Linked DNA regions of Rattus norvegicus. The protein of the gene in region 1 binds, or shares a complex with, the protein of each later gene. Links are inferred from orthologs where the notes say so. Each region holds a gene or a part of one and is shown in the gene's direction. Other genes may lie near its edges.

Evidence for each region.
Region 2: Herpud1 (region 1) and Ube2j1 share a complex: the UniProt entries of both Homo sapiens proteins name them as parts of the HRD1 complex. The link is inferred for Rattus norvegicus from reciprocal best matches to the Homo sapiens genes HERPUD1 and UBE2J1.
Region 3: Herpud1 (region 1) and Fam8a1 share a complex: the UniProt entries of both Homo sapiens proteins name them as parts of the HRD1 complex. The link is inferred for Rattus norvegicus from reciprocal best matches to the Homo sapiens genes HERPUD1 and FAM8A1.

Annotation. Positions count from the first base shown.
Region 1 is NC_086037.1:10,608,181-10,611,835, reverse strand, and holds part of Herpud1 (homocysteine-responsive endoplasmic reticulum-resident ubiquitin-like domain member 1 protein), read left to right. Parts: intron 1-42; coding exon 43-120; intron 121-209; coding exon 210-284; intron 285-1,615; coding exon 1,616-1,746; intron 1,747-3,286; coding exon 3,287-3,409; intron 3,410-3,655. UniProt on the Homo sapiens protein: Component of the endoplasmic reticulum quality control (ERQC) system also called ER-associated degradation (ERAD) involved in ubiquitin-dependent degradation of misfolded endoplasmic reticulum proteins.
Region 2 is NC_086023.1:52,221,678-52,225,332, forward strand, and holds part of Ube2j1 (ubiquitin-conjugating enzyme E2 J1), read left to right. Parts: intron 1-1,056; exon of another isoform or gene 1,057-1,112; intron 1,113-1,214; coding exon 1,215-1,288; intron 1,289-2,307; coding exon 2,308-2,439; intron 2,440-3,655. UniProt on the Homo sapiens protein: Catalyzes the covalent attachment of ubiquitin to other proteins. Functions in the selective degradation of misfolded membrane proteins from the endoplasmic reticulum (ERAD) and is essential for cells to recover from ER stress.
Region 3 is NC_086035.1:18,232,308-18,235,647, reverse strand, and holds the end of Fam8a1 (protein FAM8A1), read left to right. Parts: intron 1-133; coding exon 134-278; 3' UTR 279-2,814; downstream 2,815-3,340. UniProt on the Homo sapiens protein: Plays a role in the assembly of the HRD1 complex, a complex involved in the ubiquitin-proteasome-dependent process of ER-associated degradation (ERAD).

The DNA of each region.
Region 1 (3,655 bases):
GGTTCTATGCTGACGTTTGCTTTTCTTTCCCTTTACGATCAGCGCCCAGAGGACCAGAGGTTAATTTATTCTGGGAAGCTGCTGTTGGATCACCAATGTCTCCAAGACTTGCTTCCAAAGGTATCTGTCATCCTTAGCTCTTGCCTTGGGGTGTGGTCAAGCTCTGGCAGTTGGAATTCAGGTCCTGAAGTGTCTCTTGTTCCATTCAGCAGGAAAAGCGACATGTTTTGCACCTCGTGTGCAATGTGAGGAGTCCCTCAAAAAAGCCAGAAGCCAGCACAAAGGTATGGTGCCTTTTCATGATAACAGCTACCTGTGTCTCTGATTCCCAAGGGAGGGAGAAAGGAAGTTGAGTGAAACTTAAGATGTTATGGTGTTGGGGTTGGGGATTTAGCTCAGTGGTAGAGCGCTTGCCTAGGAAGCGCAAGGCCCTGGGTTCGGTCCCCAGCTCCGGAAAAAAAAAAAAAAAGATGTTATGGTGTTTCCCCCAAGGCATGCCAGAACTTAGAGGCTGTGTTCTCAGTAGAGCGAGGGCTGAGTGGTAACCCTCAGTGCTTACCACTGGGCATAGTAGAAAGCAGACTGCCATATGCATGCCGTGTGCAAAAGCAAAGTCACGCCTTTGACCTGAGGTCACCGTTTGCCCAGGATGGCAGATGAAAGTGGTGTTTACAGAAATGAACACGTTTCTCTAAGGGACTTTATTTATTTATTTTCAAGACAGGGTCTCTCTGTGTAGGTCTCTCTATGTACCCCCAGCTGTCCTGGAACTCACTCTGCAGATCAGGTTGACCTCAAACTCCCAAAGTCCTGCCTGGCGTCTGCCTCCTGAGTGCTGAGGTTAAAAGCATGTGTCACAACCACCTGGCTAGGAATATTAATTTTATAAAGAGTAGAGCCATAAACATATTTCCTATGGAAATTTCTGTCATGATTACTTGGGTAGGAATAGACCACAGTCTTCATTACATGATCTCTAAAGACTTTGGTTTGACAGTGAAACACATTTGCTCTTCCTCTCGACAACATCTGCTTATGTGAACACTACACCCCTTCTAGAGTGGTACTTGACTTACATTTGTAGTTCACTTGTATTTCCTGCAACTTCTGAGTGTCACACGGGAATTCTCTTTCCTTTACGTTGCTGCCTAGTTATGTGTCACATTTGATTTCTAGACCTACTGGGTTCCACAACATACATGTTAGCATTAGTGGGAAGCTTTCTCAGTAGTGGTAGCTGTAGTCACAATATTTTCCTGTGACAACCGTAGTTATTCTTAGAGAAAAACATGGATTATCCTTTTTATTTTGCATGTGTGTATGTGTGTGTGTGTATTGGTGTCCGTATAGAGAGTTTTTGCTGGGGCTCGAACCCAGGGCCTCATGCAGGCAAGGGAGAGGTCTACCACTGAGCTACCTTTCCTCAGCTCTAGCTTCTGTGTGTTCACAATTGTTGCAATGAACAAATTCAGAATCTTCCTATGACATTGCACTTAATTTTGTCAGGCTGAGGGGCGGGGACAGGGACATCAGTCACTTGGTGGCAAAATAATTAGCCTGATTGCCAACAGTTGCATCGGGCCCTTTGTTCTGACATTTGTGTTACTCGCTTTAGGGTGCTGAGTCCACAGAGCAGCCGGACAACACTAGTCAGGCACAGTATCCTGGGGATTCCTCAAGCGATGGCTTACGGGAAAGGGAAGTCCTTCGGAACCTTCCTCCCTCTGGATGGGAGAACGTCTCTAGGTGAGTGTCCATGCAGAAAACAGTCGTACTTCATTTGTGTCAATTGAAAAATAAGGTGTGTTTAAGCTGGGCATCCTGGCGCATGCCTTTGATCCCAGCCCTCAGGAGGCAGAGGCAGGCAGATCTCTGTGTTGGAGGCCACCCTGGTCTACAGATCAAGTTCCAGGACATGCAGGGCTACACCAAGAAACCCTGTCTTGAAAAACGAATTGGTACAATGTGAACTTCAGGACGTACAAGATGGCTTCAGTCTAAAGACCTCGTGGATTTTTTAATATTAGTCTCTTGAGGTATATTTTTAAAAGTAGGTATATGAGGCAAAAACACGGGTTGTTTAACCCGTAAATGGACCCAGTTGACCAGTCCTGTCCCTGTGGCGTTAAGCTACAGTGTTGAAAAGCTATAATCTGTGATGAGATCTGAGGATAAAGGTGAGGCAGAGCTTAACGATCAAATGCAAATAAACAAGTTGTTTTATTTTTTCCTCTTGGAGACTTTACTTCCATAAATGAAATAAGTTTTTGAGGCGCATCATTTGATTCAGGGATAAGAAGGAATAAGTATTATAATAACTTAAACCTCAGGTCAGGAACATTCTGGCCCAACACAAGATGGTTTATTGTTCTGGACATCCTTACTGTGATGTCTTTTTAGGAGCAGAAGCATTTATTTCTATGCGGTTTGTATTTTATCAGTCGTATCGAGGTTTCTTGGTTCCTAACTGGTAAGGAATGTAACAGGTTCTAGACTGTGGGGCTTCCTCCTTCTCATGTCCTCCTCTGACCTGTCCTAATTGATTAAGACTTGCGCAGCCTGCCAGGCAGTGGGTGCGTACGCTTTAGTCCTAGAATCCAGGAGGCAGAGGCAGGCAGATCTCTGAGTTGGAGGCCAGTCTGGTCTACAGATGGAGTCCAGGACAGCCAGGGCTGCACAGAGAAAGGGGAGCGGGAGGGAGAGGGCACAGCCCTTAGCTTCTCATTGCCTGCTCCCGGCAAGCGAAGGCTGTTCCTTGCCTGAAGAAGCGGGTCTGGCACGGCACAAATGTGTCCAAGAGTCCAGCCTGCTCCTTTGGCTTCTGAGCTCCTGCAACAACCTGTGTGAGGGACCAGATGAGCTGCAAACACAGGGAGGGTTGTCACGGCACTCAGAACTGCCACAGTGTGGATTTTTACCTGGGGTCGGGGCACGACAGAGTTCTTTCAGGATGGACTTGGCAATGTGGTTTGAGCACTCCCCTCTAAAGCACGATCCGTGGATTTAACCCCGAGTGAGGCTTGAGAGGGAAAGCATTAGCCTGTCAGCACAGCTGTGCAGAAAGCACGCAGCCTCCCCCTGCCAGGGCCGGACGGAGCTCATGTTTCCCATGGGATCTGATGAGCCACGGTGCTGCTGTCCTCAACATATAGGACACATCGTAGAGTTGACTATTGTGTTGTCTGTCCTGTCTCTTTAACTATTTATTATTGCTGATTGTAATTTAGTATCAAGGTCGTCGTTCCCAACCAACTCAAAGTGCTCTTTCGTTTGACCCTGCGTATAGGCCTGAAGCCGTCCAGCAGACTTTCCAAGGCCTCGGGCCCGGCTTCTCTGGCTACACCACCTACGGGTGGCTGCAGCTCTCCTGGTTCCAGCAGATCTATGCAAGACAGTACTACATGCAATAGTGAGTCTTACTCCGGCTGTGGGTGGGGGATGGAGAGAAATCCCATCATGGCTGTACAGTGCCAAATGGAGAGATGGGTGTGTCTTCCTGACTCCTGGAGCCCTGTTCTTTGTGGTCCTGGATGTAGTAGGGTGGAAATGATAGCAGCTTCAAGACTTGGGTATTGATGTAGAATTAGTTCCGGATAAGCTTTGCCATAGAGCTCTCCTCAGAAAAAGACGTTTTATAGATGTGATGTTTAGTGCT
Region 2 (3,655 bases), on another chromosome or scaffold:
ATCCACTAAACAAACACTCACTAGATCTCTTGTCAAACTGACAGTGTTTGAGCAGTAATCACTTAGCAGCTCTGAGTTAGGTTGGTAAGGCTTAACCCTTGCTTTCCTTTCCAGCTCCTTCTGCCTCTCTTAGGCATTTCCAGCAGAGCCACTCTGCAATGGTATGTCTCCATCTCTGTTGGGTCCTCTGTTGGAGAGCTTTCCACTGAGCCTGGCTGGAATCCCTGTTCCCTCTTCTAGCTTCTATTCGGTCCAGCCTTCTCAGCTCCTGTAGGTAGTCCTTCACACCTGGTCCATACTGTCACAATGCCTTTAAGTTTTTTCAAGTCTTCTAATTGCTGTAAGCTTGTTAAGGCAGGAAGTTATTCTTTTTCTGTCTCCACTCCGATATTCTTCAAATATGTATTGTTTGTTCATTTTGCTTTAGTTGTTTGTTTTTATTTTTATGTGTAGGAATGTTTTGTTTGAATATGTGTGTGTGTACTATGTGAGCTTAGTGTTCATTGATGTCAGAAAAGGGCATTGGATCCCTGGAACTAGATTGTGATCCTCCACGTGAGTACTAGGAATCACCCAGGAGATGAGCCTCTGAGTATTTCCAGTGTGAGATTAAAGTAATCTTAGCTGTGGGAAGCATTATTCATGGCCTGAAGTTGTAGACTGATAGAAAAGGGCAACATGGACTGAGTACTGCACTCATCTCTGTGTTTCCAACTCTGCATATGTGTGATCTGCTAGCTTTGCATGATTTCCCACCATGAGGAATTGTGGGTGAGGATGGACCATCTTTGAGATGCTTTAGTCAGGGTATTTATTACAGCAACAGGAAAAGTAATGCAAGAAGATTTCAGTCCTTTAAAAAAATTTTTTGTACTGGCTGATTTTATGTCAACCTGACATGAAATCGTCAGGGAGGAAGGAGCCTTAATTGAGAAATGCCTCGCTAAGGTCTGTAGGCTACCTGCTTTTTGTCTGCTTGATTTTTAAACTACTTGATTTCAAGAGCTTGTACCTAACCCTTTGTTTTCTTCTTTCTGCCTACTCTCTGTGTTCCAGGCTGGCCTCGAACTCAGAGATCACCTGCCTCTGCCCCCTCAGAGCTGGGATTAAAGGTGCGTGCCATCATTCCTGGCTAGAAGTTTTTTTTATTAGTCTTTGCGGATCACTTAAAAAAGTATATTCTAACGATCTCCACTTCATGGGTTTTCTTTTAGCTGTTAAACGATTGATGAAAGAAGCCGCAGAATTGAAAGATCCAACAGATCATTACCACGCTCAGCCTCTGGAGGTTAGTTTGTCTCCGTCCTCCTCAGGACGGCAGCCCTGCGGTATCAGGATAGCCTTAGAGCTGCGTTTCCTTTGCTTGCGTAGTTAATGGTGTGCTTGTTTATTGATGTACCTTTTCTGTTTCCTGAGTGTTTCATTAGCCTTTCATCAGACTCCTTAGGCAGTGCTGACTCAGGGACTCTGTCAGAGGGTTTCAGATGCTAACCTGGTGTTCAGTGCTGAGGGAGGGAGGGAGCAAGCGGAGCAGACAGAATCGCAGACACTGTATAGTAAGAAGACCGATCCTTCAGGGGTCCCTGCAGCTGTCCTGGCTCTTGTGTTTTCATCTGTGAAAGGAGGATGCCAGTGGGCATGCTCAGATTTCCACAGTGATCGTGAAGTACACACGTTACAGTGAATAAGAACTTTGCACTTAGAATGGTAACTTGTTAACCCTGTAAGGACATATAGCTAGTCTGTTAATATTACTAACCAGTTATACATACTGGAGAATACTTTTTAAAGGTTTGTTAAAATAACTCAAATTTATACTAATGATTTGACCATATTTTCACTAATTGATAGTTAATTAAATTAATCTTATTTATGAGTGTATAATAGGACTCAGACACTTTAAATTATTTAAAAAGTTTTTAGCTTTTATAAGACATAAAATTTACATTAAATAATACATTTTAGGGGCTGGAGAGATGGCTCAGTGGTTAGGAGCACTGACTGCCCTACCAGAGGTCCTGAGTTCAAATCCCAGCAACCACATGGTGGCTCATAACCATCTGTAATGAGATCTGACGCCCTCTTCTGGTGTCTCAGTGTACTTACAGATAATAAGTAAATAAGTAAACAAATAAATAAATAATACATTTTACTTGTGACTTTTGAGGCATTTTGAGCACTAGAAACTATTATAGCACTATTAGAAAGCTTTTGATTTTCCTCACCTGGCATTTTTAATGTTACTATTGATAAAAATGATAATATTTTTAAATGTTCTTGATTCTCTGGATTCTTGATTTTGTTTAGGATAACCTTTTTGAATGGCACTTCACAGTTAGAGGGCCCCCAGATTCCGATTTTGATGGAGGAGTTTATCATGGACGCATAGTACTGCCACCAGAGTACCCCATGAAACCACCCAGCATTATTCTGCTGACGGTAAGAGCTCTCGGCTTTACAATGCTTGCAGGTTAACTTTTCCAGTCATAAAAAAATGAAGTACAACATTATTCTATTTTTTCCTTCAGAGCCTAGACCATAGAAGTACAATATTTTTCCCTCAGAATAATTCTGAGGAAGCTGATTCGTCTGTGAGGTACTGGTGATCCTAGCGAATGCTTATGTTTGTAGCACCGGTGTGAGGACTCAGTGAGTGCCTGTGTGAGGATGCTGGGTGTGCTGCCTGGCACATGGGGGACAGTTGGAGCAGCTCAGTCACATCACCTCTTTCCCATCCTCCTCACTTTCTTTTCCTAAGTCCCTCAAATTTATGATGAACTGTGATGTCTGTCTCACTGGGTGACAGTAAAATTATTCAGTATCTGTATATAGCTCTTAGGATAGGGCCTGCTACAGAAACCTTAATAAATGTTATTTCTGTTTCTATCTCAGAATTTCTTTTTTTTTTTTTTTTTTCTTTTTTTTCGGAGCTGGGGACCGAACCCAGGGCCCTGTGCTTGCTAGGCAAGCGCTCTACCACTGAGCTAAATCCCCAACCCCTCAGAATTTCTTGTTTGTTTTATTTTCATGTGAAATACTATTAATATCTAACTCTTTTAATTGCTAAACTTTTCTTCCCTTATTTATGTTTAATTTTCTCCTAACCAAGAAAATTGTAACACACCCACACCACACACAGACACACACACACACACACACAGACACAGACACACACACACACACACAGACACACACACAGACACAGACACAGACACACACACACACACAGACACAGACACACACACACAGACACAGACACACACACACACAGACACAGACACACACACACACAGACACAGACACACACACACACAGACACAGGCACACACACACACACACACAGACACACACACACACAGACACAGACACACACACACAGACACAGACACACACACACACAGACACAGACACACACACACACAGACACACACACACACAGACACAGACACACACACACACAGACACACACACACACACACACACACAGACCTTTTTATTGCCTTGTTTTTCTTTTTGGTAACCTTATCTTGTTTCGGCTATTGCAGTCTGGTTTCAGGGATAATTTTGTTGAAACATGCTTCCTCTACTTATCTGAGAACGGCCATGGCGTCTCAGTCTCCATCTTGTCCCATCTAACTTTTATCTGACCTGAGGG
Region 3 (3,340 bases), on another chromosome or scaffold:
TACTAACAACCATGTATATCAAAAAGCTCTAGTCTTCTATATAGCTTTCTTTAGAATAGAACAGGCAGTTGGACTATATTGTTTGAAAACGTGTGTAGACATCTGACTTGCTGCTTCTGCTTGTTTCCTTTAGGTCCACCATTCGAGCTTTGATCAAGAATTTTTCTATTGCTTCTTTTTTCCCTGCTTTCATCACATTGCTGTTTTTTCAGCATAATCGAACAGCCTATGACATTGTAGCAGGAACCATTGTGGTAAAAAGAAATGGGGTCAGATGATGCCCCAAAACCCTGAATTCCACTCTTAGGAATAATGACAAGACTAAATTATGTATCAAGGCCAACATTATCTCTGCGTTACATTAGCTGATGATTTAAAAATTAAAGCAGTCACTCTGGTGTGGTGCAGGGGACTGTTCTGAAAGTGTTGACTGTACTTAAATGTCAAGGAACTTTTCCGGAAGGAAAAACTATTAAATTCAAGTGTTAAATATTTATAGGACAACAAAAGTTTCATAATCAATATATAGGTAAATACATACTTTAACATTTAAGATAACCAAAATTTGCTGGAAGCATTTTCAGCTTTAAATTCTCTAAATCAAACTTTAAATTTTGGCTTATCCTAGCGTGATTGAGAAATATCCAATTGTGTTTTATAAACACCTGCAGAACTCCCTCAACTCTTCTTACAGACCCTGCTGCTTATGAGCATTGAGAAAGAGCATCAACTCAATAACCCACTTACTCCCTGGGAGAAGAGGGAACGTGAGGAAGACCTAGGAGTCCCTCATCCCACACTTCCAGGATAGTCTAGTTTGGTGCAGTAGTGGCGGGATATTTCAGTTTCTTACTGCTTATGTATTTGGAGGCAAGATTTTCATGATGATGAAAATGTACTGAGTCATATATCATTGATATTTTAAAAAGGTAAGTTAGTGATTGCCTTCTGGGGGGGAGGGGTTCATTGTAAATTCACATACCCTAAAATCCAACCATAAATACGTGGGAGGAATATCCATCGAACATTCCCAGTGTGTGTTCTCCAGCGTTCTGAATGTACCTGTAGATTCTCTATGTACAGCAAATCCCTAATGCACTGCTATGTTCTCTACAGTGCCATAACTGTAAAACATCAGGTGTTAGAGTGTATTTTGTGACTAACTTAAATACTACCAGGTTCCCATTATGAACTGTTGTTTCATCATCTGTGGACTTTAGCTTCTTTGAGCTCATCTTGGTTGTAGTATCATTGTACTTTGCTCTCTGTTGGAGAAACAATTGGGTTTATGTCTGTGTGCTTTTGTTATGTCACAGTCAGCTAGCTGTACCAAATGTTAGTTTAAAACTTTACTTCTTACTCATTGTTGCATCTGATTTTCCCAAAAAACACTAAATTGTATTGCACAAGAGAGCAGTCTTTGTTCCTGGGTTTTAAACAGCAAGAGCATGCCATGTGTTGTTATATCAATCTTAAGTGAGCTTTTTTTTTTTGACATTTAAAACTGTGAAAATGCATTTAATGTCTAGATAACTTTTAAATATCTCCTAATAGCTCATTGTTCATCAACCATGGTTTCTTCTGGTAAATAATTTTATTTAAATAAAACTTCACAGGAAGCCTACTATTTGTCAAGAGCAGTACATAGAGCATGTACTTGTGGCTCTGGCAAGACTTTAAAAAGCTCTTCTTACTCCACACTACAAATCAGGAAGCTGCTGCGAACGCCTGCCACTGAACCTGCACTGACACAATTCAAGTTGAAATGCGCTTCACCCACACAGCTCTGGAGTACTGATTATTGTTTCTACTCCAATTATTGTAGTTTTCACTGAGGATATTTTTATTTATACAGTAAAATAAGTAGTTAAATTTGTTATAAATACTGCAGTTTGCTAGACAAGTTCTTTAGATCCAGCTGTGGATTCAAGCTGTGCCATATAGGATGTAATAAAGTATTGCTTTGCCTCCACAATAGCACCTCAATCTGGTGTAAGGAGAAAGGGAATCTGGCACTTTTTTCCTCATAGGGTTATGTAATGGAGCATGTGAATGAAGAATTTACAGAAATACTAATTTCCTGTGTCAAAGTGTAATTCTCATGCTGAAGCTGTATCCTAAAAGGGCAAAATGAAGTTGAGAAATGAAGACATTCTTCATGAGCATGCCCTAACCCGAAACATCAGGACTGGAGTCTTGCTGCCGCATTGCCATTTAGTTTAAATAGCTGGCACGTGATTAAGGCACTGAGTCTCAGTACTCACCGCTGAGTGTGTTCTGAAGTAGGATATTCTACACTCTGGGTAACAGCACGATGAGCAGCCTTACTGAGTATTCTTCGTGACCGTAACAAACACATGCCCCTTCAGTGTTCACTGCTTGCTCCTGCCTACAAAGCACGTACTCCATTGCCATGCCTGACCAGTGACTGTTTCACTGTAGTACACGTCTGTTTCTGGCAAGGAGGAGAAAGGAGTTGAAATTTTGCATTTGCAATTTGGGTTTCTGAAGGAAGATGGGGCATTAAACTTTCATTATCTCTTTGAGGACAATGCCTAGATTAACAGTATTCCTAAACTCTCGACAGGTACTGGTTCAGCTCCTTGTCATCCTCCATTTGCATAACCAAAGACCAAAGTCCTGACTCGTGCCTGGCTGGTATGCGTAGGTTTCCTTGTAGTTCACTATAGTAGGACTTGCCCTGCAAACAGTATCTAATGGCTCACGTATAATAAACAAAACATTCTATTTTTAATATTTGTATGTCACCAGTTTGTACTTTATGTCTCAATAAATACTTAATCAGTGTCAAGAGTGTTGTCTCTGCCTATTGCTGCAGTGGATTAAACTATGTTCTTTAATAGGCCTGGAGCTGTGGTTCAGTGATAGAACCTACACTATCCAAATACCTATGAAAAATCCCTTAAGAAGTACAAGTTGGGGTTGGGGATTTAGCTCAGTGGTAGAGCGCAAGGTCCTGGGTTCGGTCCCCAGCTCTGGGGGGAAAAAAAAAGTACAAGTTACCTGCACATGAGCTCAGCTTCATGTTAAATTCACTCAGAGCTGTTAGCCATTACAACAGTATCAGATGGGAAAAGCCCATTTCCTCAAGGGCAGTTATCTGAGTGTGGTAATTCCACTGTGTAGGAATATTGCTGCAAATTTAATGCCAGCCTGGACTACAGTATAAGACCCTATCTTTAGGAATTAAACTGTGCTGCTCTGGACAAAGTACTAGTAGTCTAAGCCAAGCTGTCAATATGTGACCCATATTTGGGGGCCACAGTGGATTTCAGAGGCATAAAAGTCAAGTGAGAAGGGAACACCACTCCATATTACA